3 linked regions of the Alligator mississippiensis genome follow. The protein of the gene in region 2 interacts with the protein of the main gene of each other region in a pairwise test. Links are inferred from orthologs where the notes say so. Each region holds a gene or a part of one and is shown on either strand. Other genes may lie near its edges.

Region 1 (10,358 bases), on a different chromosome or scaffold from region 2:
CAAAATGGCTGAAACTGGTTTATGTGCACTGAGCTTCTGCTCTGTTACCGGTTTAAACCAGTTTCTGATCACTTAAAACAGATTATGTGTAATTTTTGTCCCTAGACACCAGGACAGAACCTAGGAGTCCCTGCACTTAGCTCCCACCCCTGCTCTAGCCACTGGACTCCACTCCCCTCCCAATGCTGGGGCAGAATTGGCCAGGACAGTGTCCTGGGCTCTGTAGGAGGCAATGGTTCTGCCTCCCCTCACCCTCCCAGCCCTGTGCGGGGTGGGTTATGGGGGTTCTTGGGTTGGCATACCTGCCAGGGTGGGGGTGGGTGTTGCCACTGGCTGAGAAGACATGCATTGAGGACAGCAGTGAGGGCCAGGAAGAGCCTGGACCCAATAATGAGGCTGGACGGGCACCAGCAAAGCCAGCTGTCTGGCTTATGTAACTGCATCGCCACCTGAATAATGGCAAATCCTGTATCTTGTCCGAGTGCCCAGCCCTGTGGAGGGAAGGGTGGAGGAGGGAGGTACAGGGAGACCAGGCACAGGCCTCAAACCCCAGATTAGCTGTACTGTCCTGGCCTGAGCACACTGTTCCCTGGCTATGTGCCCCCTCCCTGGCCATCTGTTCCCAGCTCCCTGGCAGCCAGCCCTGCCCTGCTTGCCCTCCCAGCGCCCTTGGGACACAGCAGGGATGGAGAGACCAGTGCGTGGGGGCTCCCCAGAAAGGCTGTGCTGCCTATGGCTGGGAAGCATAAGGGGAAGAAGGGGGTCAATCCCCCCCCTTCACCCCTGAGCTGAGGTCAGGAAGGCTAGGCCAGTTCCCCTCCCTCCCCCCAGCCCTGCACACACTGGGCATCACCCCATTCTCACCCCCCCCAAACACACCTGGTTGTACCTTCCCCCACACACATTGTGGGTTTCATCCTCCTCCCTGCCCCCACCACACCCTCTCCCTTAACACCCCCCCTGCCCCGCTCCATGACAAAGCTCTACTTGGTACTAAGTCCAGGCCTGGGTGGGTCATTTGGAGCTCTTCCGGGTTGGGGAGAGGTAGTGAAAAGGGTGGAACAGGACACCTGAGTTCCCTTATGCTGCCCCCACAAAGGTAGCAAATAAAGTCTGCCAGGGGAGCTGCCCTGGGGTCTCCAAGTGCTGGAAAGGTCCGGGAGGCAGCATGTCCCATACCTACCTCCTCCTTCCCAGCCCAGGGGAAGCAGGACAGCCCTAGTGCAGAGCCAAAGAGAAGGGGGCTTCTCTTCAGGGCATCTGCATGGAGAACAGGCCTCCAGGCCGGATCTTTGTGGGTCCTCAATACAACCTGATACTGCTCATTGTGAGGGCAGGAGGGGCTCTGACAGTTGGACCTAGGAGTCCTGCATCCCAACCCTGCCGAATAGCGCTGGACATACAGCTCTAAGCTGGAGCACCAAAGAGCAGGCATCAAAGAGGATAAAAGAGTAGCTTCTGGCAGCTGTTGCTGCAGCTGCTCTTTCTACTCAGCTGGAAGACACCTGTGACCAGGTCCTACTGTCTCAGCCCTGTGCGAGGACATGGGCTTTGCTCATGCCTGTGCTATGCAGGAAACCACAGGGCTGTTGGCAAAGGACCCAACATCAATCCAAAGGGTCTGTTATGCCAGCAGGAGCCACCAGATTGTGCTGTACAAGATTTATGGCTTACAAGATCTTTTCCAGGCTGCAGAACTGCTGGGTTGTCAGTCTGTGATGCACATCCCCCAGTGGGGTGCTGTAGCCAGCAGTGGGAGTTTGCTTTCTTCCTTCATCTCTGAGTGAAGTCAGTTCTAGGGGTTGAGTTTCTCCCTGGAAGCCAGGTGTGTGTGTAGGCTAAGACTGCTGGCCCAGTGGCTGGCTTGTATGCTGAGACTAGGATGGTCCATATAGTAAACACAAGCAAGACACACCAAGGAACTACTCAGAGTCCACCTTGCTGATTCCTCCCCCCAGTGGCAGGAAGGAGGTGGCAGAGTCTCAACATTTGCTGCTGTTCAGCTAAGGGGGAGGGGGTCAGGTTCCCCAGGGGAAGTTCTGGGTTCCCCACTCCTAAGACACCCATGTCCTGCCTCTGTGCATGAAGTCCCAGTGGCAAAGGGGCCAGTTGCTGGAAGTGTTTGCCTGGCCTGCCTGGGTTTTGATCCTTCTGGGGTGTGTCCCCAACCCAGAGCAGGTCCCACAGTGAAACAGAAGGACTCACTCAGCCTTTTCTTATTTTATTATTCAATGAGACTCATAGAATGTGATCCTGGATGGAAACAGGGGAAAACAATGAACAACAGAGACATGTGCAGCAGGTTCCTCCCCAGAATCAAAAGCTGCTGGAAGGAGCACCAAGCTCACTCACTTTCTGCCCTCTGGAGCCTCTCTCCTTAGTGCTGCAGTGAGCCCTGTATCCCAGCTCACCCCTACCTCTGAACCCTTTGACCTCCTCCAGTACCCTTAGCTACCCCACCCTACGGCAGTAAAAGCAGCCTCTGTTCTGCCCAGGGGAATTCACTCCATCCAAAAGAAAGGCTCCAGTTTAGGAAGGGGAAGGTGATCCTAGTGACACAGCAGGTCAGGAGCACAGCAGGGAAAAGGAGTCCTATCAGCCTCTCCAACTACTGGACAGCACACCCTTCCCAACAGCCACTCACTCTCTTCTGACTCAGGCACCTGCTCTAGCCATTAGCCTGTATTGCCTTCACCAGGCTGAGACTAGAACCCAAGGGTCCCAATTCCCAGCTTCCCCCGGCTCCAGATACCAACACACACTCCTCTCACTGTCCAGGCTTGCAATCAACTGCTCCAAACACTAGCCCTCACCTAGCTGGGGGCCCAAGAGCAGTAATGTCTCTTGGAAAGGTCCCCTGCTCCATGAAGCTAAATCTATCAGCCATTGTGACAGCTGATTGACAACCCCTCCAGGAAGACAGTCTTTAAAGAGACAGCCTGATTATATGAGCAATCATTGGCATGCAAGGTGTCAGACAAACTTGGCATGGTCCCTGCCCCAAAGAGCATACAGTCTAACTCAACAAGCCTAATGCAGCCATGGCATAGCCTCACTGAGCTCACACTAGGGATGGATTTGCCCCACAACGGGCCTGTCTAATAACCATGTGTCCCAGCACACTAGGGCGTGTGGGAATTTCTCATGCAGAGGGAGCCATAAACTGGGAAAACAGAGCCCTAAAGGAAAGTCTATGTACCAGATCCTCAGCCCCTTTGGGCCTCCTGGGACAGGGAGCGGGACAGGGAGCGGGGCAGGCCACCCTTGCCAAAGCTGGGCCGGCTGGGTGGGATGACAGGAGGCAGCTCCTTGGTGATCTCGGCCACGGCCGTCTTGTCTGGGCAAAGCCCATTGGCCTGGGTACCCCTGGCCAGCGCCGCCTCGAAGTCCAGCATATCATGCAGCTGGGGAGGGGTGGCCATCCGCTCGGCCTTGGCACTCAGGTCTGTTGGCATGAAGATGGGCAGGGGCAGGACCTGCTGGGATGGCAGGTGGTACTGGGCCAGGGGTTCACCCAGGCGGCCCAGCCGTAGCACCTGCCAAGGTGACCGCTGCACCACGATGCGCGTCTCCTGCTGCTGCCAGAATGTCTCCTTGTGCTGGTCATCCACCTCCTGCCGGGAGCAGCTGAGGGGAGGGGGCAGCATTAGGGAGCTGTGGGCACAGCCCAGCGGGGCATGCCCCCCCCCCCCCCCCCACACACACACACTTCCCCAAGCCAGGGAGCCCAGACAAGTCCCAGGACCCAAAGTGGTGACTGTCAGTGCCAGGGAAGGAGCAGACACTTAGATCCTTTCTGCCCCCAGCTGAGCAGGTGGCAGAGCTGTGCTGGGGCAGGGAGATGGGGCCAAACTGGATATGACCCTCCCCATTCCCCCTCCCACTTGGGAGGTGGTGCACCTCCTGGAGTGGGGAGAGGCCAAAGGCCTGCCAAGGAACAAGGGGAAAGAGGCAGACACAGGGGGATGGGCTGGGGGAGATGCTGAGCACTGGGCACTGCTCTGCCCAGGGGCCATGACCCTCTGCCTGTGACTATCTGGGCACCTTGGAGGGGCTGAGGCAGGGCCACACATTGCTCCAGGACCCTTGGCCCCATTTCCACAAAGGGTCCCAGGCTTCCCTTCAGCCCTGTTGGCAAGATGCCTTTGGCCAAGAAGGGGCTGCAGCAATGCTGGTGCCCACCCCCCAAACCTGGGGAGCCTGCTTCATCATCATCACTCACCCCTCTTCGGGCCTGGTGGAGAGCGACAGGTCCTTCCACTCGGCCTGGAAGGACTCCTTCCGTCCCATGTCCTCCTCCTGCACCAGGCAGCCCAGCTCAGCTGCCGACAGCAGCCCTGCACTACGCAGCACCACGCTCTTGCCAAACATGGCTGTGTCCAGAGCCGGCTCCTCTGGCAGGTGTGTGTGTGCCTCAGCCTGTGGGATTTGGCTGCCCAGGCTGGGCATATATAGCCTCCCCACTGCTATTTCAGGAGGTGTCACTGGCACAGCATGTACATGTTGCATGGACTGAAGCCAAGGCCCCCTTGGCACGAGCAGGTGCTTGGGGGAAATGTGTGATGATGCATGCCTGCATATGTGTGTGTGTGTGTGCATGTGGCTGTGTGTGTGTCACACTGGTCTGTGGGAAGATTCCAGCAAGTTCCTGCTCCTAGACATTTTCTCTGCACCTCTCCTATCCCATGAGTTGGGGTAGACAGCAGTCCCACATGGGTCCCTTCCCTCCAGCAGGGCTGGAGCATGGACCAGGGATGTCCTCACTGCCTGGCACTCACTGACCCCTTGATGCCATCCATCAGGAACACCTGGGTTAGCCCAGAACACCAGCCATTCTGTTAACAGCCCTGCTTGACCCCAGGCCCAGACCCCACTCACTCCCAGGCCCAGTGTTGCCCTAGCTGCCCAGGATTTCTGCTTTCCACTGCCCTGGCACAGGCCATCCATGGGGCAGATCCCAGCTCCTCCCTCAACACCAAAATGGGAGTGCAAACAATGTTTGTCAGGAGAAGATGCTTGATCCCCGTAACCCTGTCTGCCCCTGTCACTCCCCTCACAGGTCAAAGCCATCAGGCTGCCATGTCCAAACCCCAACCAAGGTTGGGAGGACAGTGTGAAAGCAGTGCATGTGAATGAATGCTGGAGGGTGCAGGGCAGCTGTTGCTGCACTTGTGCTTCCAAAATCCCCTTTGATCCCATGGACTGCAGGCTGATCCCTATGGAAATGCACCCACTGACTGGCCCAGCCCATCAGCTGATTTTCCATTCATGGGGTAAAAGAATTCCAAGACCTGCCTGAAAGCCTGATTATATAACAAGGCCACTGGCTGGCCCTTTCCCTACAAAGTGGTGCTAAATTACATCCCATCCCCTGTGCAGAGGCAGCTGCCACCTCAATTCCAGGCTCTTCCCTCAGAGGTCCCCAGGGAACAATGCTGAGCACATCAGCAGTGCAACTGGCAGCCATCCATTTCAGCCCTAGGCTTTCTGGTCAAGAGTGGGGCCCATGCAGAACCTACTGCCATAAGGTAAACCCTGCCCGTAAGCACACACATGACCATGTGCACCTGCCTGTGGAGGGAGAGGTGGAACTGGGACAGGCTGGCAGGGTGCTGGCATGGTGGGATCTCAGTTCATGCATCCTCCACATTCCCCCAGCCTGTCCCTGCTGTTAATAAGAAGCAAGGGCATTGAGAGCTGAGCTCCATGGTGCTGAGCCAAGTAAAAGTCCCACAGCTCAGCAGCTGGATGGAGCAGCACCTGGGCTCATACTCACAGGGGCCATTCAGCTCCTGGCCACTACATGAAGAGCCCCGTGCCCAGCTCTGACATGCGGGGGGTGGGGGTGGAACTAGGAGCCAGAGGGGTTGTGGCAAGGACAGGCCAGCTAATGCACCTTGTTAAGCAGGACCGGACTGGAGCTGAGGGCCATCTGTAGCTGAGCTGGGTCAGGCACAGTGTCACATTGACCACAGGGCTGGGGAACATGATAAGCACCCAGCTGAGCAGACTCTGCCTCTTCTCAATTCCCAGTGCCCTCAGGAAGGACCCCTTTGCCAAGTGGTTGGTGCCCAGCCTGGCCTCATCTGCCCCCTCCACCTCCTCCTGATCTCACAGCTGCTTTGTGGCCCAAGGGCTGCGGCCCAGCCTGCTTCCCGAGGCTCTTGCCCACAGCATGAATGACTTTTCTCAGGCCAGGGGGGGCAAGCTGCTGTTTGTGATCTCAACTGGCTGCCTTCCAGATAGTGTCCCCCCTTCCCTTGCCAAAATAGAGGACCCCCCCCCCCCCCCCATTGCTGCTAAACCAAGCAGGCAATGCCCCCCCAACACACACTGCCCTCATCACAGAGACCTATAGCAGAGCTGTGTAGAATGCCCCCCCAATCCCCCGCGCAATCCAGCCACAGCCTAGTAAGGGAGTCTTTTGCTTTGAAACTCTAGTTGCATTGGCAGCAATCGAGGGAGATGAGGGGACAGTAAACAAACTGATTTAGAGACTTGTTAACTGCTAACAGGTCCCTGGAGCCAAGATGAGTGGGGTGGGGGGTGGAGTGTACGGAGAGGGGGCAGGCTGATTAGAACTGAGCCCATCTAAATCCCCTGGTTCGGAGACATCAACTGATGCCAGCCTATAGCGTTGCTGCCAGCTCTGGCTGCCCCTCTGGTTCCATTTGCTCCTGGGCCTTTTCTGTGGCTAATCCCTGTTGGGCTCCAGTGAGAGGAAATGTGAAGGGATGGGGGGTAGGAAGGCGAGCTTTTTCCAGGCTCTTTATGCACATGGGCAGTGGATGGCTCCAATACCCTCTTTGAACCCTCACAGCTGAGGTTTACTGACAAGATACAACAGGTGTGGGAAATATAGCAAAGGGGGTATCAGAGGCAGGACGGCTGTACTGCAAAGCTCTATAGCCCCAGAAGAGGAGAGTAGGCAGACACCTGGGTCGGCCGGAAAGGGCATGGACTGAGCTGGGAGGCGGACTGAACCCAGAACAGCCTTGGCATAACTTTGGTGGGGAAGGACACAAACCAGGGCCAGAAGATTCAAGGAGCTGCCTTAGTAAGAAATGGCAGAGTTGGGGCAGATGGGTGGAGGGCAAGAGAAGGCGGCTGGGAAAGGACTGTCATGGTAGAGGTAGAGGTAGGGACAGGTGATTGATTTGGCATCTAAAAAAGCCATGAGTTCCCCTGGAGAAATGATGAAAAACTCAGGAATAAAACCCCCAGGGATTATTTTCCTGGTGTGAACAGCAGACCTGGGGAACCAGCAAACCTTACCACTTTAGGTAGCTTAATAGAACAGTGCCTGCCTCCACCTTGTCCAGTTCAATACATGTACCAGCCCTTAGTCCAGCTGCAGTCACCTATCCTACTTCATGGGTGTGACTGTCCCTTGCAGGTAACACCTATCATTATGCTTCAGGAATGGGGCAAGGCCTCCTGCAAGCTGCAGGTCACTGGCAGAACGACCTCTCCCATATAAGAGCAGAGTCTCCACCTCTGCTCCCAGTAACACCAGTACAAGTCACTACAGGCCGTTTTGGCTTGGACTGGGGCTGCTGACTGCTGATAACCCAAAGAATCAACACCAACAAGAAAGGAAGGTTCAAAGCTTTTATCCGGTCACTGCTGCACCCTGGCTAAGATGTTCTTCACTTCCAAAACAGCTATTGACAGCCAGCTGGCTCATTCCACCCCAGAAGTAGCTGCATTTCAGTGCTAGCAGGGGCCAGGAGTGAACCTGTTGCACTGAATTTTTTGACGGGTTTGGCTGTGCTGGAGGAAGGCTGGGTGGGGAGATCCTAACCTTCTCCAACCAACAAGCACCCTGGGCAACCACCTCCCAGTTTCCAAGGAGCTCTCCCACTCTCCAATTTAGCAGGATGGGAAAGTGCAAGGTGGTCATGCTCTTCCCTCCCTCCCCCCCAGCACCTGCTGACTGACAACCACAAAATTGGGATCTGCAGGGCTGGGAGGGGGGATCATTGTGCGGGGGGAATCTGTGCATGGGGAGAGGGCAGGAGAGGGTCTGAGCTGCCATCTGGCCCCTTTGCAGCTGGAGGGGCGCTCACCACTCCTTGCCAGGCACCCTGCCACAGTAGGAGCTGAGGTGACAGCTCTCAGCCTCAGCCATAATGCCCACTGCTGCCCACACACAGGCCTCACTCCATCAGCTTGGCCAGCAGGGTGTCTTCATCCACCTCCTCAGCCATCTCCTCCTCCTCCTCTTCTTCCTCCTCCACCTCCTTGGGCAGCTCAGGCCCTGGGCTTAGCGTCACCAAGATGGCCTCCTCACTGAGGGGCTCCTCCTCACTGTGGGGGGCCTTGTCTTCCTCCAGTGGGTAATAGCGCCGGGCCGCAGAGAGAAAGTCATCACCGACGTCGAGGACAATGAGCCGGTCCTGGAGAGGGCAACACAGCGAGGGTGGCAGAGGTCAGAGCAGGGGCTGCAGGGCACTGTGGAGCCCAGGCAACAGGGGGGCCAAGATCTAACGGGAGCTGGTGGCGGGCAGGGCTGGCTGTATGGGCCCAGCCAGGCTGCCCACAGTGATGACTCGGGATCCCCCTGCACCCCCAAGGGGATTTAGAGCAGGGACGGCAGTGAAGACAGGGTGGTCCCAGCTCCCCCAAGAGTCAGGGCAGGGGGGGTGGAAGCATCAGCCATTTGGTTAGCTTCTCCCCTCCAAGCCTCGAGGAGAAGCCCCCTCCCCACACACATACCAGGACAAAGAGGTATCTCTCTGGGGGGCTGCAGTGGCGGTCAAAGAGGCTGGTCTCTGTGGCCAGTGTGGTGAGCAGGGCACGGGCTTGCTGTGGGTGACGCAGGGAGCTGTAGGACATGGTGGAGGTGACAGTGAGCAGGCCATCTGCCTCGGCGCTGAACCCTGCCCGGTTTGGAGGAGAGAGGGCCCCTGTTAGCACCATGCAGCGTATCAGGGAGGTAAAAACCTTCTTCTACCACCAGCTGGAAGGGGCTCAAATGCCACTGGCAGACCATACCTCTCCCTAGGTTCTGCCCTCTGTCTGGACCAAGCTCTCTACAGAGGTGGCACCCAGGAAAGGGAGGGCAAGGACAACCCTCTGCTGGAAGTATTGCCCATGCACACCTCTACCATGCTCCTCATCCTAACCCTCCATCCCCTCAACCATCAAGGGGTCATGCTGGCATCCCAGGGGCCTAGCACAGGGCATGAATGAGGAGAGGATGACCCCCAGCCCAAAGGGCTACCTTCTGGGAGCAAAGGCACAGCCCAGCCCAACCTATGTGCACCACGGCTTCAGGGGGTGCCCTAACTACTGGCATCTGAATCAGGAGGGAGGGCAGAGCTGTCCAGCTGCCCCCAGCTCCCTTGACCAAGCTTGTGTCCATACCTAAGGCCTCCAGGATGTGCTTCCACCGGTCCTTCACCTCGCGGCGGATCTGCCGGTGGGCACTGATGTCAAAGCTCAGGCGCCGGTACCCCTGCAGCAGAGGGGGATAGAGCTGAGTGTCAGACTACAGCTCCCTCTCCACATGGCAAACCTCACCTACTGCCTTCTCTATCCAGCAACAACTGCCAGGTGATGGCCCCACACACTAGGAAACCCATGGGAGGTGGATAGGACAGTGATGCTTTGGAGAGCATATCCAGTGGTTACAGCAGGGGGTGTGGAGCAGGGGGTTGCATCCTGTCTTTAGGAGCAGCATGGTGTCCAGCAAGTTAGAACAGGAGGGATGGGTCTGGGAATCAGCTGGGTTGCATCCAGTGTCATTGAGCAAGGAGAGCCGAGTGCTGGGACTCCTGGCATCTAACCCCAGCTCTTACTCTGCTGTGTGAGAAGCCACAGTGCTTCCATGCCTCAGTTTTCCCACTTGGAAAAGAGAGGCATAGAGAAGGCTAAAACACTCCAGTGCTCTGGCGATGCAGCAGTTTGGGCAAGACCCCATGGACCCCACCACAGTCCTTCCCCCTGGCCTTATTTCTTCTCTCACAGCCACTTTTTGGTGGGAAAATTATTGTTTAGCGTGCTCCAGCAGCACCTACAAGGCTAAATAGAGCCTCAGAGCCCCACTGTGCTGGAAGCTGCACACAGAGTGAGGGCAAGCGCCCGCCCTGAGCTCATAACCTGCAGGTTGAGGAGGGGGGAAACCCAAAAGTGACTTGCACCAGGCCATATCCCCCAGAAATAGAACCCCGAAATCCTGCCCAGGTCCAGTACCAAGCACACAGGCAGAGAATGAATGATCTCCCACAGGAGATACAGGCAAGTCCCACAGCCTGGGGGAGAGCCCCAGACAGATGGCGGTAGGGGCACCGACCTCTGACCCCCGGCGAAGCTTGGCCCGCTTCTGCAGCAGGTTGTAGAGCTCCCGGTCGTCA
Region 2 (10,366 bases):
GTGTTTACGGGGCTGGTTTTCCCAGGGGCTGTGCTCCAAGCTCATGTAAGAGTGACTCAGGTTTGGGACGGGGGCATCAGGCTGGCTGGGCTGGCCCCTCCATCCCCGTTCAGTGCCATAGGGCTCAGGGCTGGGGCTGGCAGCCAAGAAAGGGGCTAAGGACACAGGTCAGCACCTGCTGCTACCTGCGCTGTTTGGCAGGTCAGTAGACCACCCTGTATCCTTGCTGTGCCCTGGTGTGAAACGTGGCCTGAGCACTCACCAAACCACAGGGAACCAGCCCCAAACCTAGACCACACCTGGGACTGGGATTTCCCAGAGCAGACAGGCCAGGCAGCTCACCAGGGGAGCCCCAAATGCATGGGGGTGTGGGAAGATGGTCCTGTGGGACCCAGCAGAGGAGCTGTGCCGGGGTCAGAGCCCAGCCCAGCTGGACACGGTTTGTTCTGCAGAGGGGACTAAGCTAGACAAGACCGGTTTGCCCCCTAAGCCGGTGTCCGTAGCCTGTTACCCCTGCCTCGCTCCAGCACCGGTGTTGTGGTGCTTGCAGAGACCCAATACAGGGAAACTCCTGCAGCCTCTTGCATATAAATGCCCCCCCTACAACCCAAAGCTGGTTCATGCATCCAGAGGTGGGGAGACTCCCCAGGGCTGCACGCGTGGAACCAGAGAGGACGGGCCCTGGAGAGCAGACATCAGGCCAGGGAACGTCTCCAGACCAGCAGCTGCCACACACAGCATCTCCCAGGCCTAAGACCTCACCGAGAGCAAGAGACCTAGGCAGGCTGGGAAGGTCCATGTGGCATTGGCATGTCGAAGAGGAGGGGGCTGTCTGTGCCCCGATGGGCAGAACCCACCTCCAGATACCAGGGCTGCTCATTCAGGCTGCAGCTTTTTGCTGATGGGGCAACAAGGAGGCTGCCAATTAATGCCAGCTTGGGGGGTGCTTCTTGGGAACGCAGACACCTCTCCCCTGGTGCCCGAGACCCTTCGAGCTAGCTGTGCCCTGGCACCGAGCAGCCAGTTTGCAACAGGTGAGGGCTAGAGGTGACCTGCAAATGAGAGGCTTGAGCATCTGCTGCCTGTCCCTAGAGCCGCTCAGGCCCCACCATTGCTGCTCAGCCTGTTTAGGGCAGAGAGGAAAGGCAGGCTGGAGGGGATCCTGCACCCTACTTGAGCAGGGCTTGGGGGCCAGGCTGCCAAAGGGGAGGGGATGCCCAGAGAGGCAGGTGGGGCACTTTCAGAAGGGCCTGGGCAGACTAGATCCCTGCATCCAAGGCTCTCCAGGTGAGCGCCAGCAGCTGTCAGCATCTCTGCTCATACAGGCCATACCCTCTGCAGCAGAGGTCTGAGCTGCCCCTTGCATAGATGCTCCTCCTGGCTTGCTGGAAAGCTGCTTTCCAGGCACAAAAGGCATCCATGCTGCCCTCAGCACTGCAGGCCTGAATGCACTCGGCTCCTGCAGCAGCGAGTATAACTCCCTGCAGATGAACTATTTCTTGCTGATCGAAGCTATCTGGGGCAAGAAGTTTTGCTCCTAGCCCCAGGACGCAGCAGTTCTGTGACTGGGGAAGTGCCAGGGACCACTGCAGCATGACCAGGCAAGGACTATTCACTGCCTGCTTCATGGACGGCTCTGCTGAGGAGCGGAGCAATGGTTCAGCTGGTCAGCGGCAGAGCCAGGGAGGAGGATGGGGAAAAAGGAAGAAGCCACCCTGACCCCGAACTTCCTCCACTTCAGTCCCCGATCGTGTCAAGTCCTGCAGTCTAAAAGCCCAGAAGCATTTGGTGCTGTTCCTTGCTCCATTGCTTCCAGGAACAAGGCCACACTTGATCCCCTGATCCTTGTGATCTCCTGGGATCGGAGAGCCCTGCCAGCTTCATCATGTGCATTGGGGCCGCGTGGGTCCCAGAGCCAGGACACGGCCTGTTGTTTGTTGTCTTTTATTGCAGGAGAGTTAAGTAACAGGTCTCTGTGGCCAGCTAGGCACGGCACAGCTGTTATTTAGAGCTGTTTCTAGGCTGGCAACCGCTCACATTTCAAAGTGTGAGTCGGGACCTGTGGTTTATGTCTTCTCTGCCTCCCCTTCAAAAAACACCAGCCCAGCAAACGTGTTGCAGTACAGTCCCTTCTTCTTTGGGGGCCTGTGTCAGGGTCTCACCTTCAGGCTGCTCCTAAACCAGCGATTCTCAACCCGGGTACCCCCGAGATCCTTTTGAGGGTGCCCCAGGGCTCGACATGATAAGCACTGTTGGGTGTGCAGTCACCTACACGGGGTTCACACGACAGCCCCAGGGCTCTCCAGAGGGTCACAATCACCCTGCCCCATTGCGATCGGAGATCTTTGCAACAGAATTGCTCTAGTATTTTGCTGTAGTCAAAAATGGAGCGAAAGCCAAGAGCTAGCATTTTCCAAGTAGGGTGGGCTGGGGCCTAGAGAGGTTGGGAAGCACTGACCTAGATGATAGCTGCTTGGAAGGGAAAGCTTTGGGGAAAGGCTGAAATCTCAGCCATGCATGAAGCAGTTTCTGGATTTGGTATCAGCCCCTGAGGAGCTGGGGAGCCAGCTGTAGGCCAGGCGAAGCTTGCCAAAGCAGCCTAGCATGAGGATGTCAGGGAAAAGGGTGAAGCCACATGGTGAGCACGAGCATCAAACATGTTAGCAGAATGCATTTCCATGCTGAAGTGGCTGCCATTAAGGCTGGTGCTTCCCCCTTCTGCAGCACCTACTACCTGGGCATCTCCAAGTGCTTGGACAGCCCAGCATAAAACCATGAAGTAGTCTGACCAACATCGCACCGAGCTGAAGCAGAGGCCAGTTCCCCCAGCTGCTCCACTATTTCGACAGGCAGCCAGGATCCAAGCCCGCCCTGGCAATCCAGTGGCAGTGAGAGGCATGGACACCATGCTTGGGAGAGGTGCCACCTCGGAGAGGTTTTGCTGCAGGATCAGGCCACGCTGAAGTGCTGGAAACTGAAATGCAACTCAGGGGCCCTCAGCATGTGGGCTGCTGCCAGGAGCACAGGGCACAGCTGGGGGACTCAAGCAGCCTGTGTCTGCTGCACATGAAGGTCAAGGCCCTTTGTCCACCAGTCCATCCTCCCCAGTGCCCATCCAGCCCTGCCCTGCACCCCTACACCACTGCACTTCAGCCACCACCTGCTCCCTTTCCAGCCAGGGGCTTGCTGAGGGTGCCGTGGGGGGCACTGTGCATTGCAACGCAAGGCTGCATGCAGGGCTCTCCCTTCGCACGCAAAGCAGAGGGCCCATCTCCTTCAAGAAGCTTCGCTGCCTGACCTACCTCTGAGGACTTATAGGCACTGGCTGGCAGGCTCCCACCCCTCCTCACACTGCAGGCTTTGCCTGAGAGAATTTGCACTTCCCAGCCATCAGCCGCTGTCTGTCACTCCTGACTCATCAGCAGCTCTATATGGAGGGCATTAAAGCCCAGTGCCCAGCCCAGAGAAACTGCCCAGGTCAGCTCTTCCTGCCAGGCCTCTGAGCTGCTGCTTATACTCACGAAACCTCCTGATCCAGCTCCATGAAGCAACAAACAGAGAAGGAGTTAAGGAAACTCATATTAAGGAATAACATGAATGCAGGGGAAATACCTAGATCTCGTGTTTTCTGCATGAGAATGCTATTCTTTCCTCCCTTAAAAGCATCTCATCACAACACCTACCTGCTGCAACCTGAAGTGACCCATCTGACACAGCTGAATCCTAATCAGTGAATCCTGCTGGTAGCTAAACTCATTAGTTCTAGATCAGGCAGTTTAGACCCAAGTAAATGAAGGTAATATGCAGTAGCTGCCTTGGAAATGGAGCGAGTCTGAAGGACTAGTCTAGTGTGAAATTGGTTAACTAATTGTGGATAAAACTGATTAAGAAGGCTGGATGGGCTGCTCTGGCTTGGGCAATACTAATCAGCTTCAGGCTGGCTGCCTGGAAGAGACTAGTTGTGTCACTAATTAGCTCTGGCTAGATTAGTCAAGTCTATAGGATGTGCTAATCAGTGCTGGACAGACGATCAATTAATCTGGGTGAGATCTGAAGGGAGTTGATTAATCCAGCCTGAAATTAATAACAACCTTCCATCAAGGAGAGGAAACCTAAAATGAACTAAATGGCTGAATAGGTTCAGAACGAATCTCTGACGACTCAGCCCTGCCACCCTGGGCTTTTTATCCAAGCAAATCTGCATTAAATAATGCTAGCACCGCTCATCGCCTGCAGCCCACACACCAGACCCATCCCCGATCCAGTTTCACACAGCTCCACCTCTGCACGAACCCGCTCGCAGCGGGGAAGAGAGAGAAACCGCAGGCTGGAAAGCAGAATCCAAGGATCCATGTATTAGCCGGAGGATGGGAGCACTGGAGCTTTTCCTATCAAGCTCCTGGGCCTTTATCAGAGGCACTGGCTCAACAGGGGAGCCAAGGGAGTTGAATGAATCTCCGACTGCCCAGGCTTCCAGAATGGGAGCAGAGATCCACGGTGTTTCTCCTCCCCTCCCACTGCTTTCCCCTTTTATTAGCTTGTGCCAAAGCAAATCATTTCATATCAATTTTCAAACAGCTGGCAGCACGGACTGTGTAGCAGGGCGTCCCTGCTGGCCACTGTAAGGCGCTGCCGCCCTGCCAGCGCCAATTCAGAACCTGAGCACAGCGAAGGACAGTCTGAACCCACCTGGGGAAAAAGCGGGGAGCTAGAAACGAACAGCCAGGGAGCCGACCAAGCACAGGATCAAAGTCCTGAACCTTGGGGCTCTGGTTTTTTTACTGCAGGAAGCGTACAGAGAGAACTTGGACCTCAAGGGCCAGTCTGTATCCACCTGTCCCCTACCTGTAACAGGAGGGGGAGCAATTCGGGGAGGAGCTCATCACCTCCGTCTCCCTGGCCCTGCTACAGCATAAATCAGTCAAGCTCATTTTCTTGCTGTGGGTCTGGAATTGCTTGCAGAGGTATAAAGCTGGGCTCCCCACCTCCAACTCAAAGTGCATTGGAGTGCTTTTCATAATGACCTAAAGCCAAAGGCTCGGGTCTACAGCTAGATTTCAAGCCCATGCTTTTAGCTTTCTTTGGGATGCCAGGTCCCACCCACAGTGTAGGTACAGATCCAGAGCCCCTGCCTCTCAGGGAGCCAGACACTGTAAGGTTACAAGGCACAGACCACTGTGAGCATCTAATATGAACTTCCACCTAACACAGGCCTGAGTAATTCCTGTATTGAGCCACTCTTCTTGCAGCTGAACTGGTTCAGAAGAGAGGCCTGAGGCTAGACTCATGCTGGCTGGCTGCATTTGATTTGGATCCATGGGGGGAAAAAAGGATTGAGCAAACAGACACTTTAAATTAATTATCCAGGGTGAAGGTTTCCCCTTATTAAACCACGTGGGTATCTGTGTAAAGCAGGGCAGACGGCTGGATGTGGTGGAAGGCCTCACCCCATGGATTCTCACTTGATGCAGTCACTGGGAAAATCACCTGCAAGATCTGTTTTTCTTCCAGAGTTTCACATGGCTCCAGAGATTGGCCAGGGAAGCCTTCACCTCCGTTGCAAGATCAAATGCAGCCCAGCTCAGAGCAGCTGTCAGTCCTGGTTCATGGGTCCATGCAGGGCTCATTGCATTTCCCAAGTAACAGGTATCCATGTCACTGGAGTCAGACCCAGGATAGGAGTGAATGGGCCATGAATCCTCTCCCAGGTCTGCTATCAAGACAGAAGGGTTTGTGCAGCACACAGCGAAGAAGCCCTGCACTGGTACTGCCAGTGCCCACCTGGATCCGCTCCATCAGCCAACAGAGGGTCTGTGTCCAGAGACGCTGGTGCTGTCCCTTGCACAGACCAAAATATTCGTTACGGTCTCAGTGACAGGTTTCAGGCCAGCCTGGCAGTGCCAGGCATCATCCCTGCTAGACTGAAGCTCTGCACCGAATAGAGCGCTCCCACTGGGCCTGATTTCTGGCAGGACCCCAGAGACGGTCTGTCTCTGTCCTGCCTCCAGAAGCGCTTGCCAATCTGTGCTGTAGCCCAGACACCACAACACGACCTCTAGTGCCCCAATCCCAGATTATTTACCCCCGGCCAGAGGATAGCTGCTGTGACTATTCTCAGCCCCATGCCCTTAACTGAGGACTCGCGGGCCTGGCACATCTCCCTATGCCAGCCTGAAAAGAAAAGCTGTGGCTTAATCACAGCCCACCCCAGCAGCTAAATAAACCAATGACCCAGGAGCCAAAAAGCTGGGAAGGCGTCGGCAGATCCCAAGCACGTGCTTGCACATACATGCAAATTATGGTGTAGTAATGATGATGCTAATGCCCTGCAATAAGTATATTTTAAGCCAAAGCCCTGCAGGATAAAGACTGCTCTCATCCCCGTTCTGTCGAAGTGAAGAGGACAGAATCAGGGCCTGCTTTTCTGCTCAGCCCATCTGCTTGTCCCATGGACCCATCCTGAGCAAGGCTTGGGATTTTCAGCTCAGTCACCTGATGGGCGGTGGGGGCTTGCTGCTTGGGCTGTGGTCTGTTATGTTCTTCCCAGCCTGAGTTTTCCTACCACGCTTACACAAATGACAAAAGAGATGGGTTTATTTCAATGGTGATGTGCACGGGGGTGCATGCGAGCCCCCTGAGAATGCCAGTGCACCCCCTGATCGGTCACGCTTGCCACTTAGGTGATGGGTGGGGGGCAGGCAGGAATGCCGGTGCCCCCTCTACAAGTGCTGGCTGATTGCTGCAGCCGCTCCTAGAAGCGGCCACGGCCACCCCTGGAAGTAGCTGCGATTGACTGCAGGGGACCCTCCCCCAGGCATCAAGACTGGTTGCAGGGGGGGCACATGCCCCTCCAGACTAAGGCGGCACCAGTCACCCATGGTCTATTTGAATGCCCACTTTATGGAAATGGAAGACTCCTCCCTAGCTTGTTCCTGCGGCTGTACGGTTGAGGGCAAGCGAAACTCGAGGGCATCTGAACCCCAAGCCTCCGGGCGTGGGCCTACGCGTAGGATACCCACCAAAGGATTTGGAAACATCTGCAGCCCCTGGTGGGGTGGAAGATGTTTGCCGGTAGTAGGGCCACTTATGGTCCTTGACTGACTCACGGATTTGGAATTGATTTGGCTGATTTGGCTTGGAACACTAAAAAATGTCTTTACAAAAAAGATGGGTCTATTTGAAGTCAAAGCAAGTAGAAGCCGCCTCCCCTGAGACTGCCTCGATACGTGGCAGGCCCTTGGCTAATTCCCGTATCCAGAACTACTGCATAACTCCCAGGGACCAAGCATGAAACTGAACTGATTGAGCTGTTCCCCCCCCCCCAACAGCAGCCAGATCTTTTGGGTAATTTAGGGACCCCATTAAGGGCTCAATTAGCCGCTAGATGTCACTGCAACTTCACTCAAGGAATTTGACCCGGCTAAAGAGACATCATCCATTTATAATTCAATCTTATGGGAAGATCATCACTTATCATCTACTTCTATTTACTACGGTAACAAGGAACAGTGGATAGCTCCAGTCCTGTAAAGATTTATGCACGTTCTTCACTTAACACCTGTTGGTCAAATATCTGAAGCATTTGCAGTGTGTTGTCTTGATAGTAAGGATAAGCGTATAGTTTATAAAGGTGTACTAGATGTTAGAAGTGTGCTAGCACTACGGATTGTATGCATTACAGACTGGCATTAAGCTCATCAGTAGAAAGGGTTATAGCTGAACTACTCGCGAGCAATCCATTACAATTGGTTAAACGCTAATTATAGTATCCACTTAAACTTTTAAATGGTTTCTTAGGTAACTCGCCACCATACGGTGGCCTCCATTATCAAGCATACAACCCACAGCGAACCAGGCAGCAGGTTTAAAACAAACGCTGGGAAGCACTTTCTTACACAAGGCATGAAGAAGCTGGGGGAAGCGTTGCCGCAAGATCTGGGGGAAGCCAACGGTATCACCAGCCAGGTCAGAACTGAGCTCAGACTGACGCTGGAGGATGGATCTGTCAGGGGCTATGAAGCCCAAGGGCCAGAGAGCCAGTACACTTCTGGGGCTGGGAGGGTAGGACGGGGTGAATCATTCTACCCTGGTTCATAAACTCTTCTTTTAAAGCATCTGTTATCTGCCACTGTCGGAGACCGGGCCTTGGGCTCGCTGGTCTGGTGTTCTTCCGGTTTCGTTCACCCCCTGCGGCAGGATGGCGTACAGAAAGCTGTGCAGAGCACAGTTTAGCGCGGGATTGAAGATGCCCCCACTACAGCACATGCTCTCCTCTTCTCTCAGCCCCACCAAGCACGGACGCTGCCCGACAGCGGTTCCTCGGGGTTTAGCACATAAACCTGCGGTACAAGAGACTCGCTGTCTCAGCCGGACCGTCCTGCTTTCTCCTAAGAGCGTGGGGGTAGCTCCATCCAGGGAATGCAGATCGCCACCCACGCGGCCTTCCAGACTGCGTCCTGGAGAGGGGACCGGACCTGCAGCCGTGCCCCCTGTCCGGAGGAAGAGAGGGCCCAGGCTCAGCCGTCAGAAAGGGCTGTTTCTTGGCCAAGCTGCTTTCTTCCTCCCTTCCGGCCTGGGCTGGGACAGGATCTCAGACTAGGGAGATGTGATGCCCAGCTCAGGCAGAGCAAGAACCAGCCTAGATCTAGACCAGGACATGTCTGCTCCCTCCGTTTTGCCAGGCAGGGACGGCTCCCCCGACACGGGGTGCGACACGGGCGCGAGGATCACTGGCTGGCAGCCGGGCCAGCATCCGGACAGGGGCTACCAGGGGGGGGGTGCACTGGGGTCTAGTGCAGCCGCTGCCAGGCCACACGATAGCAAGTGCCGCGAGGCTTGTGCTCCCGCCTGGCATCTGCGCCCGGTGCAACACCTTGAAAGCCGGCGGGGGACAGGGGCTCTGCCCATTTCCCAGCTGGAACAATGGAGGCAGCATCCCTTTGAGGGAAGGTACCACCCTGCCATCCTCTGGATCTCCCCAAATCACTGCCCGCCATGTGCCTGCAGCAGTTTGGGCACCGTAACCCCATCGCTGGGGGGCAATCCGGGGGGGGGTCGTCCTCCTCCCCCACCCACCCCAGCATCTTTGCAGCCCCCAGCCCGCGGGGCCTGGGCCGCAGCAGGGGGAGGACACTGAGGAGGGTCCGGCGAACGGGATGACCGGCACGGTGGGGCTGCGGCTGCCGGGGGAGGGGGGTTTGCAACCGATCCGGGCCGTTTGCACTAGAGCCGGGGCTGGGCTTGCGAGGAGGGGCAGCGGCAGCAAAGCCGCGCCAGCTGCGTGCATCCCCGCACTCCCCTGCATTGCACTCCCTTTGCATTGTATTGCATTGCGCCCTCTTCCCTTGCATTGCATTGCATTGCGTTGTACCACCTCCACCTTGCATTGCGCTGCGCGCCTCCCCTCCCCCTTGCATTGCATTGCATTGCTTTGCACGCCCGCCCACAGCGCAGCGCGCCCAGGAACAGCCCCGCAAGCCCCTCCCCCGGCCCCGCCTCAGCCAATGGGAAGAGGCGGCGCGCGCCACAATGCCGGCGGAGGAGGCGCGCGCCGCTCCAGCCAATCAGCAGCGGGGTTCAGGGCGCGCATGCGCGCGGCGTGGGGGGGTGTGTCGCGCGGGGAAGGGCAGGCGCCGATCATGGCGGCCGCGCGCGGCGCTGAGGTAACCGGGCGGCGGCGGCGGCGGCGGCGGCTGGGCCTGGCCTGGCCCTGGCCCTGGCCCGGGGGCGGGGGGGGGTCGCCTCGGCTGCCGGCGGCTTCCTGCGGGGCGGGGTGAGGCGAGGCTGTGGGCTGCCTGACACACGCACCCCTCCCGGCGTGTCATTGCACGCACTCGCGGCCCCGCGTCCTTACACGTCAGCTGTGCGCGCACACACACGCGCACCCCCCCCACACACACACACTTACACGTCACCTGTGCACACGCACCCTCCTCAGGCTTCGTGTGTGCGCTGCCCCCGCACGCGTGTGCACCCCCCTCCGCAGACTGTGCGTGCGTGTGTGTGTGTGCACGGCTGACATGCACGCGCACACCTGCACACGCTTCGCCTCCTCCTCGCTCGTGTGTCAGTTGCGTGTGTGCGCGCACACGTCGGTTGCACACGCACGTGCGCCCTTCACGCACTTGTGTGTCGGCTTCACGCGTGCATGCTCTCGCTTGCTTGTTGGCTACACACCCCACGTGCATGTGTACATCAGTTGCACACGCACGCACACCCCTGCGTCACACGCTTGCATGTCAGCTTCACATGCGCACACGCAGACTTGCACGTCGACGCCACGTCAAGTTTTTTCTCTTTTTTTGTTTAAATATCCCCGTTTTAAGCTGTCGCGTTGCAGGGGAGCGAGCGCTTGGATCAGGCCCCT
Region 3 (9,812 bases), on a different chromosome or scaffold from region 2:
AGCATTCATGCGGTTAAGTTTCCAGTTTTTAAAAGGAACTAGAGCACTAACGTATCACAGGACTACTCACCAGTTGAACTATTTCTAGTAAAAGGTAGGGAAGTAGGAATACCACTGTACAAGAGTGTGTGGTGACCTCAGGACCACTGCATATAGTTCTAGTAACTCAGGTGCAAGAAAAATGAATTCAAACTGGACTGGGGTTAGAGAGGTTACTAGGATGATTGTGGGAATGGAGACCTTAGAACGGGCTTGTTTGGTCTTGCAAAACAAAAGCTGGAGGATAACTACTATTAGTCGGGAAAGAGATATTAACACTGGAAGACAACGTTGACAAGGCAGCATGGGTATGAACTGGCCATAAATTTATGCTGGAAATTAGAAGGTTTCTAGCCACAGCAAGGATGCTCTGGAAGAGTCTTCTGACAGAGGTCACAGAGGCAAAAGACCATCTAGATTAAGATGGAGTTTGACAGGTTATGAAAGGGATTACACAGTGGAGTTACCTGCAATGGTAGGAGACAGAACTAGATAATCCAGGAGGTCCTTTCCAGTCCTGTGCTCCTACGACTCAGCAGATGCATCTGCATTACAGCAAGTGTTGTTCAGCAGATGGCTGCCTCTTTAGAAAGGCTAGAAACTCACAGCCATACACAGCCATTCTTTTAACAGCCTTGTTCTTTTCATATTGGATAAGCATGAATACACATTTTTATGCAGGTTTCTCTAGTGTAAATAAATGTTGAGATCAGAAGGAAGTCTCCAGCCCCTCAAGTTCTCAAATGCTAAGCAGTGTTTCCTTTGACCTGAATTACATATCAGAGCAAACCACAGAATCTTTTCAGCCATCTTTATGTCCATAAAAAGATAAAGGGGCTGGTATCTCAGTTAAGCAAATAAGCTCTCTTAAAAGATGAAGCGATTTTTGTTGAAGTGGGCTAAATCAGTGTCATTCAAAATATTCTGGAATTCCCACAACAGTTCTCCTGTGCAACTGTCAGGATGCTGCACCCTTATCTTACATTTACTGGAGTCCCTAACTGTCATGGCAATGACTAGGAGCTCTAATCTCAAAGCTAACTGTACAACCCCACAACCAACATGTGAAACACTCTGGCAAGTTATGCACATGAATCCCACAAGCAATGACAAAAGCCATTGCTCTAAATTCTGCCCCTGCAAAGAATCAAGTCTGTACAAAGACTTCAAAACACTTTATCTGCAAACATGCACTAACATGGGATCGCCTCAATTTTTATTTCCTTCCAAGTATCTAGAGTAGTTTGTTTTCATATACATTATAACTGAGCCAGAGACCTGAATCAAGATTGGGATGCCACCATACTAAGTTCTCTATAGAGCCCTTTCCTTTTCACACAACCAAAGGTTGTATAAGATAGAGAACAAAGATGTGTGCGCATATTCTGGTGCTCAGAAACAGTAGATCAGGGGTTTTCAGCCTTCTGGTGGCAGCGGCCAGACACGGATCAGGGGGGCTTGCACACAGCAACAGCCGTTGCCATCTACGTCACTGTGCTGCCGCCACTACCCACTGCCCTGCTTTCCCATGGCTGGTTGCACTTGTGGCTCTGTGGCCTGCTGACGGGCCTCGCACCCAGCTAATTGTGTGCTGCCTGTCAGCAGCCTGCGGAGCCGTGTGTGCAACCGGCTGTGGGAAAGCAGTGTGCAGCAGTAGTGCAGGGTAGTGGATGGCAGCGGTAGCCACCACATACGAGCCCCCCCACCCCAGCAGGCACCTGTGCAGCCCACAGAGGGGCACCACTGCCCTCGCCCCTCCCCCAGCCCTGCTCCTGGGAGGCAGCAGCATGGGGTGACGGGTGGTGGAGCGCTGTCCCTGCCTGGTCGCATGTACCCCCTAGGACCTTTCCACGTACCCTAGGGGTATGCATATCCCCAGTTGACAACCCCTGTTGTAGATAGAAAAATCCAGTTCCTTATCACAGTCTTGACCCACCAAAACATGAGACAACAAAGTGAATAAAGAGAAAAAGAAATCAAGAGTGGGGCTCCAAAAAACCCAGTGTGATATATAAGTAACTGTCTTGGGCCAAGTCCCATGGCAGTTCCCAGCTCCAGTTACAATCTTACCTTGAATGCCAGATGTTCCACAAAGTAGCCTGCTCCATTGTTCTTTTCATTTTCATAGCGGCTCCCTACCTGGATCCACAAGCCCACCTGAGAAGAGAGATGCCCCAAGTAAATATGCTAAAGGAAATAATGCAAGCAAAAATTAATAAGCTTCCTACAATTTTTTTTTTGGGGGGGGGGGGGGGGGAGGGAAGAGGGTGTCACATATGCACACCCACTGGCAAGAGCATAACATAAGCATATAAAGGTCTCTATCTGTGGCCCCAGCCTTCAGTGTCTCATGAGAAACAATGCTGAGCAAGTACCATCAGATGTGGGTTTTCTGAAAAAATTTGAATTGGAAAATTTTCCAATGCTCTAAATAGAGAATGATCTGATTTAGCACATTTATTTGACTTACATTTAGTAAACAAAACTAAAAAAACACCTCCATATTAATTTTCTGTCTCAATAGCCACAAGTATTTGAACTGAAATATTTGATTAGGAAAAAAATTAAATGCAACACACTTAATGTGGTTTAAATGTTACATTCAAACAAATTCAAAGCTATGATATGCAGAGGTTTCCACTCATCTACTTCAGAGTTTAACCCTCTTCCACCGAGGTCCTTGCAGCACCTCCAGTTTCACTGTCACTAGCTGTAGAATCACTTGCATTACTTATTAGTTCCATTTCAGAATCAGATTGAGGCAAATCTGATTCAGAACTACCTGAACCATATTCTCTTTCGCTAAAGGATAGTTTTACTAATGAGTCTATGGGCAAGGGTAACTTATCATCACACTACATCTTTTTCACAAATTGTGCTTCTGTAGAATTGGAAAGAAGCAAGAGATTTTGAGAAACAGAAATAAGCTTAGCAGTGTGTTCATTTGGTTTTGATTTGACCTGCACAGTGAATTAGGTGAATTTATCCCTTGACTTTTTGGTTTGGATTATTATATGAGTGTATTTACCCTCCTGTTTACAAATCAATAAAACATATATGTACTCTCTCACACACTTCCTAGGGATAATCACCCGAAAAACAATAATTACAGCTTTGAAACTCAGACTTGCTAACACTGTATTGGCATCCAGTCATTGAAACAGTGAATTTTTAGAAATGGAAGGTTTCCCATGGAAAAATAAAGAACTGGAAAATTTTCTGCCTCACATCTCTGAGTACCATATTTGCAGGCAATGACACACTTTGCTCTCCTAATCAGCCTCAGTTTTAGCTTCTTAATTTTCCAGAACTAAAAACAAGACCAGATACATCTGGTGTCACACATGGGGACAATTATTTTGCATCATAGGTTTAAAAGATTACTTTATTTATGCCATGCATCTAGCAATGTTTGCTAATCTTCTCTCTCAATTTGTCCAAGTTGTATTCAACAATGAACAGCTGTCCTGCTCATACGAAAACTGTCTTCATTCAAAAAGCAGTATGGATGAGCAATCTGAACAGAGCACAAAAGTATCACTGGAAGCATTTTAGACTCATTCCAAAGCAAAGCAATCAATACCTTTTGCTACTGATTCCACTGACCAGGTTGTGACCCTAACAGCTAACAACAAAAGACAGACTACATCTCTGCTGAAAGAGGAAGTTAGTCTGAAGTCAGGCAAAGTAGACTTGAACCTTACAGACTAAATTTATAGTTTACCTCCTGCTAGATCTCTGCTGCCAATCTTGGTTCAAATAAAGGCTGTGCTCCTTTGAAAGTCGAGAAACTTGGTACAGAACTGAGTCATCCTAAAATAAACCCCGATTCCACCTTAAAAATTACCGTGCATGTAGGTTGGCCAGACTCCTCAGATGCCACACGGAGGCCATTGTCAAGAGTGGTGACCTGAGTCTCTGGAAGACTGTGGAGTACCTGGGCATAGGAAACTGCACTGCGATTCCTTGTTAAATTCAACAGGGCTGGCTAAAGAGAAAAACATGATCAAACTGTGACTCTCACAGCATAATATAGACTATCTTGCTTCTTTAAGCAAGAAATGCCCACAGGTGCCCAGGCAGGCCACTTCTCTGGGCAGATGTGATATCTTTTACTAGACCAACTGAGTATTTGGAAAGTTTTTTGCTAGCTTTTGGGCGCAATCACTCTTCTCCAGGCTGCCTACCCCACTCCACAGGCAGGCAGACAGCAGGGCACGACGGGTTGGCACTGCGTGGGGAAGGTGCAGCTCTGCCCCTCACTCCCCAGCCCCCGCCCCGGGGTGCTGCTGTAACCCCTCTGCGCCTGCAGCCTGCCGGCCCCGCAAGGGTTAACGCAGGCGGGCGCGGTGCCCCCCCTTTTGACGTCACCGAGCCCTCTCCGAACGTTCATCCCACTCTGCCCCCCCACGACGTTTCCATGGCGACCGCCGCGGGCAGCGACCCCATGACCTTCCCCGGCGCGAGGGCCCGGGCGTCCCCCCTCGGACCCGCTCCCCGCTGCCAGGATCCGCTCCCTCCGCCCCAGGTCCCCGCCCCGTCCCGAGCGGGCGGCGCTCACCGAGGAGCGGGGCCCCCGTAGGAGGACTCGGCCCGCGGCGCAGCCGGCCCGACACACAGAGGAGGCCGCCATCTTGCCCTACAGCGGCGAACTAGCTGGAGGAAACAACGCATGCGCCGGAAGAGGTCATGGGCAGGGAAGCACACATGCGCCAAAAGACGGGTGGCGCATGCGCAAAGAGCGAGGCAAAGGGGTACGCATGCGCAGAGGAGGTGCTGGAGGGGCGGCTAGGAGGTAGCCTAGGAGTGGGATGGGTGGGCGCGTGCGCGCTCCCTGCTGGTGGGAGGTGCGGCAAGCAGGGCTGCAGGAGGTGATGGAGCAGGGGGAGCTGCAGGGCCGGGAGCCTGCAGCAGCAGGAAGGTAACTTAAGGTAGCGTGTATGAGGCTATGTATGGCACAAAGCGAACTCAGTAGGCAAAGGCACGGTGCAAAACAGAGTGACCTCTGTTTTATTTAACAATCAAGATCATCATCAATAAAGGATCAGTGGGATCCCTGGGCTTGCTTGCCGGATGCAAACAGGTAATACTGAGGTGTGATGGTTGACAACGAGACTTGCAATGTGTTTCTCACGTCCAGCCTCCTCCGTCATTGCAGAGAAATCCACTTCACAAAGATAGGTAGATGGAAAAGGCAGCAAGGTCTTCAGAGCTAGGGTGCTGAGTTCTGGATATTAGTCCTTAATTTTAATCCAGGACGACAGAGATGAGGTTGCCTTGAACAATGTTTTAAGTCCTTTGTCACATGTTAACTCAAAGTGGTGGCAAGGACAACTCCTTGCGGGCATTCAGAAATGGATCACGGATCCACTGTTTCCCGATTCTCGGATTGTTCGGCGCCCGTATCCTCGCATAGCGACGCAGACAAACGTGAATTCAGTGCACGTGCTTTGATATGATTGACAATATGAATCACATCACTCAACACATACTTCAAGAATCAATCTTTGACTTGCCAACTTTTCGCGGTGAATTGCACAGTGGGTAGACTTACATTCAGGTGCCACTTCTTTTACCCTGGTCATGAAGCCAGAAAGCTTTCCAGTCATCATAGCAGCGCCATTGGTACAAAAAGTCCCACAGCTTCTTCTGAAAAATCCACAAAATTCTGGAACATGTCAAAGACTCCCCTATCCACATGTTTCCCCCAGGTTTTCGGCTTGGTTTTGAAGGCTGTGATTTTATCTGCCATTTTAAAAACAGATGCCATTCTCCCTTGCATCGAGAGAGTGAGTTTATTCAGTACCGTGAATATGTTGCTCAAATAAGTGAGCTTAACAAGCCAGTTCTTGTTATTGAAATGCACAGCTAATGGTGATTTTTTGTCTGAGACAAATCTCTGCAACTGCTTTCTTGATTCAAAGACTCTGGTCAGGGCCTTCCCTCTCGATAGCCAATGATATTCTGTATGCAGGAGAAGCTGCTTGTGTTCAGCGCCCATATCCTTGCATAGCGATGCGGACAAACGTGAATTCCGTGCATGTGCTTTGATGTGATTGACAGTGTGAATCACATCACTCACCACCTCATGTAGTTCAGGAGACAGTCTTCGACTTGCCAACATTTCGCCGTGAGTGGGGCTGGGGCAGGGGCTGCCCAGTTGGGGTGGGGCACAGGACTGAGCAGCGCAGGGATGGGGGGCGGCTCCTGGCACTGCGCGGGCCCTGGGAGGGCTTGGGGGGGCATGTGTCCTGATCTGCATGCAGGGCAGGATGGGCTGTGGCTGTGGGCTGGGCTGGGCTGGGCTCAGGGCAGGCAGCAGCGGCACTGAGAGGTTGCTTTGGGGGGACTACGGCAAATTCTGGAGTGGCTGCAGCCCTCCCTTGTAGCCCTGCTCCTGTAGGCCCCTGTGGTGAGGGAGTGGGGCTGCTGAGGCTGGGGCAAGTACTGCATAGCCAGGTGGAGCGCTGGACAGAGCCGCAGCTTGCCCGGGGGCCATGGGGGCAGCTCCTACCATTGCGTGCACCCTGGGAGGGCATTGGGGGCATATGCCCCCGGATCTGTGCGCAGGGCAGAGCAGGCTGGGGCCAGAGCAGTGCTGGGCTGTTCCTGGCGAGGGTGTTGGGCCAGGCTGAGCTGGGAGGCGGAGTTGGGGGGCTACAGTGAATTTTGGAATGGTTGCAGCCCCTCCTGTAGCCCCACTCCCAGCACTGTCACCACCTGCCCTGGGCACAGCCCCACCCAGCCACCACTGGGAAGAGCCCAGTGCCGTCCCCAGCATGCCCCACCCCGCCCTGCCTCGTGAACAGATCTGGGGGCATGTGTCCCCCACCATGCCCTCCCAGGGTGCATGCAATGGTGGGAGCCACCCGCACCCCCCCCGCAGAATGAGCCATGGCTCCATCTTGCAGTCCGCCCTGCTGTTCAACGCCTGTCCTGGCCCCAGCAGCCCCACTCCCTCCCTCACTGTGGGGGCTTATAGGAGCGGGGCTAGTGCCACGACCGCCAACCCTTTGCAGCCCGGCACCGGGCCATGGCCCGCTGCTTGGGAACCTCTGACATATGGTATCACATCACATCATCACATATGGCACAACACACATTTTTTCTCTAGTTAAAGAGAAACCAGAAGCTTTACTATTATACTGGGGGGGGGGGGGCGGGGGCAGCTCTATATTATTTGGCTTAAGATCAAAGCAAACAGCAAAATAACTATTGGAATGTGCACTGATTTGCTAGATTGTGTAGTGATGGTGTAGCTGTGATAGTCTGGAAATTATGCAAGAGGCAAGGATTTCTTTGGGTGCTCTCAGAATTTTATCTGGCCAGGTCACCTGATTGACCAGCCAGTACCAAGAAGAAACCCAGGAGATACAGGGGTCACTTGATTTGTCCCAAGTGGCAGATACAGGGGGATTTCTTCACAGACAGCATCTCCAATAAGGTTTAGAGGTAGAACTAAAACAGTGTGCAGGTTGTGAAATAAATGAGAAATTAGTAGGAATGGTTACCAGCAGAAAGTGTAACTCAATTAACGAAACATCAACACCATTAAAAAGGAGAGAAGGTCATAAAACACTTGTGGAATGATGAGAGATTAGGAGAAATCTGTTACATTATAATGAGCCATGAAGTCAATGGACCCCCACAGCACTGCCTGAACAGAAATACTGCTGCCTCTCCCAGGCAATTGATTTTAAAGTTTGGCTGGAGCAGGAATCAAGAAGGGGGTGGGGAGAAAGGTTGCTGCTGCACCTACCCTTGTCTGCATTACACTGCAGACTGTTGGACAGACAATTGAATTGGCCAGGCGTGCAAAGAGCTGCCTTTGAATGAGGTAAGGTGCACAGTCAACACTGGAGCCAGGCAGAGAGGCTTTGGCATGATGCTCTTTGCCAGCCCTTTGGTTCAGCTCAAGTTCCACACACCTATTCCATATTTTATCTGATTGCTCATGCCCTGTTGCATTCTGCCTTTTGGCATGGTTGCCCAGAGCAGGAGTGCCCCTCACTTCGCTTAGCAAAGCAGCTTCACAAAGTATTGAGAGGGGACTGGCAGAGTAAGACTGGGCTTAGTATGAATCACATCATGAAAAGGGAGCGAGTGGCTCTAACAATTGGGTCAAATGAAATTCTCATAAATGGGCACAGAGTCTTAGGTCGGAAATATGCCAGTTGTTAGGAAACAGCAAAGAGATGCTTCGAGTAAAAACACATTTATTGAGAAACAAATCAGGATCATGTTATTAAGTTAAGTCCTTGGTACGCAACATTAATAAAGCATAGATACCAGAAAAATTACAACTAATTCTGTGTCTGCAAACGTTGCGGCAGATCAAACAGGCTATTCAAGTGTTAAAAACATATTTCTAGTCCTATATTTACCAGCTGTATACCCTTGAAACTACTCAGTAGGAAATGTTGCTGCAGAGTGTAGCTGAGCTCATGGGTGACTGGTGCCTCCTAAGACTGGGGGGTGGGCAGAGTTTGTGGGTGGCAGTGCTGGCGGTGGGGTGGCAAGTGGCAACTGCCTGCAGAAGGCGGTGGCAGCGGTGGAGGGAGGTGGTGTACAGTGACCACCTGCGGCAGCCAGCGACAGTGTCGGCAGTGGCGAGGTGGCGAGCGGCGACCACCCGCAGAAGCTGGCAGTGTGGCAAGCGGCGAACACCCGCAGAAGCTGGTGGTGGCAGCATGGCAAGCAGCAACCACTCGCAGAAGCCAGTCGCGGTGGGGGGAGAGGCGAGTGGCGACTGCCTGCAGAAGCCGGCAGTGGCCAATCTCAGGGGGGGGCACATGCCCCCCCCTACCAATTGCTTATGGCTGAACTATTACATTTTTCCTTCCCTAGCATATATGATTTCATGATTGTCTCAGTCACCACAGTGAGTTGATAATAAATAACCCTAAGCATGACCCCTTATCTGAATGTTTTCTTGCTCTTCAGTAAAACTCTGTACATTGCCATGTTGTGTGAATAAGTCAAGTTTCTGGCTGTGGTCATGATAACCACAATATAAGAGAGGCAAGTGAGAAGGGAATGGGGGAGATGGATGTGGCTAGGCAGGACCCAGACTTCATGGCGTTTCAGTATTGCTCTCTGTCGAGAGTTTCCCAGACAGTCAGTGGAGCTGTTCTAAAGCACCATGTATTCAAACAACAGTCACGTCAGAGATGCAGCTTCCCTTCCCCTCATGCTGCACCCCAAAAAAGTGACACACATGGTGCCAGACAAGCTCCCCATGTCTGAGGGGATTCCCAGTTGTAGGAGATCTTGTGCCGTGAGCCCAGGAGATCCCAGGTCTCTCCAGCATCAAGCAGATGCCCAGCTGAAGGAGGGTTTTGAGGTAGTTTCCCAGTTGCTCTGGTGACTGAAGTGGTTTCCCAAGGGTAGATGATCCCAGATTTCCAAGGTCTGAAGCAGATGCTCAGCAACAGGCAATCTTTGGTCTTTGATGGCAGGACTTCCCTGTCACCTGCCCTTGCAAACATCAACCAGCTCAAATAATCTTCTGGAAACATACCTTGATGGCTCCCTCTCACCTGTTGTGCTTCTGGGGAGGGTGGATGCCATGATGGCTACAGATGAGTGCTGGGAAAAGTCTAAAGAGTCAAACAACAAGAGGATTTTCTTTGGTTTTGTTTTGCTTCCCCAACCTCCTGGCTTCCTCACCACTACAAGTCCTGCTTTCCCCCCTGCAAGGCCCTCACTCTTGTCCATGCAGGATCTCAAGGCACTGGAATGTTTTCTCAGCATGGCAGTATGTGCGCTGGGCC

The links. The genes of interacting proteins can lie anywhere in the genome.
Region 1: the proteins of TRIM63 (region 2) and TCAP interact in a two-hybrid assay, tested with the Homo sapiens proteins (3 studies listed by BioGRID and IntAct). The link is inferred for Alligator mississippiensis from reciprocal best matches to the Homo sapiens genes TRIM63 and TCAP.
Region 3: the proteins of TRIM63 (region 2) and cytochrome b-c1 complex subunit 1, mitochondrial interact in a two-hybrid assay, tested with the Homo sapiens proteins (2 studies listed by BioGRID and IntAct). The link is inferred for Alligator mississippiensis from reciprocal best matches to the Homo sapiens genes TRIM63 and UQCRC1.

The regions. Positions count from the first base shown.
Region 1 is NC_081827.1:165,411,460-165,421,817, forward strand, and holds TCAP (telethonin), read right to left. Parts: upstream 4,443-10,358; 5' UTR 4,372-4,442; coding exon 4,223-4,371; intron 3,628-4,222; coding exon 3,207-3,627; 3' UTR 2,209-3,206; downstream 1-2,208. Other genes in the region: melanoregulin, read right to left, coding at 8,160-8,399, 8,719-8,882, 9,370-9,460, 10,298-10,358. UniProt on the Homo sapiens protein: Muscle assembly regulating factor. Mediates the antiparallel assembly of titin (TTN) molecules at the sarcomeric Z-disk.
Region 2 is NC_081829.1:3,275,405-3,285,770, reverse strand, and holds the start of TRIM63 (E3 ubiquitin-protein ligase TRIM63), read right to left. Parts: upstream 4,227-10,366; 5' UTR 1-4,226. UniProt on the Homo sapiens protein: E3 ubiquitin ligase. Mediates the ubiquitination and subsequent proteasomal degradation of CKM, GMEB1 and HIBADH.
Region 3 is NC_081835.1:20,054,247-20,064,058, forward strand, and holds the start of cytochrome b-c1 complex subunit 1, mitochondrial, read right to left. Parts: upstream 4,709-9,812; 5' UTR 4,673-4,708; coding exon 4,601-4,672; intron 4,028-4,600; coding exon 3,887-4,027; intron 2,197-3,886; coding exon 2,110-2,196; intron 1-2,109. Other genes in the region: CELSR3 (cadherin EGF LAG seven-pass G-type receptor 3), read right to left, coding at 9,615-9,638. UniProt on the Homo sapiens protein: Component of the ubiquinol-cytochrome c oxidoreductase, a multisubunit transmembrane complex that is part of the mitochondrial electron transport chain which drives oxidative phosphorylation.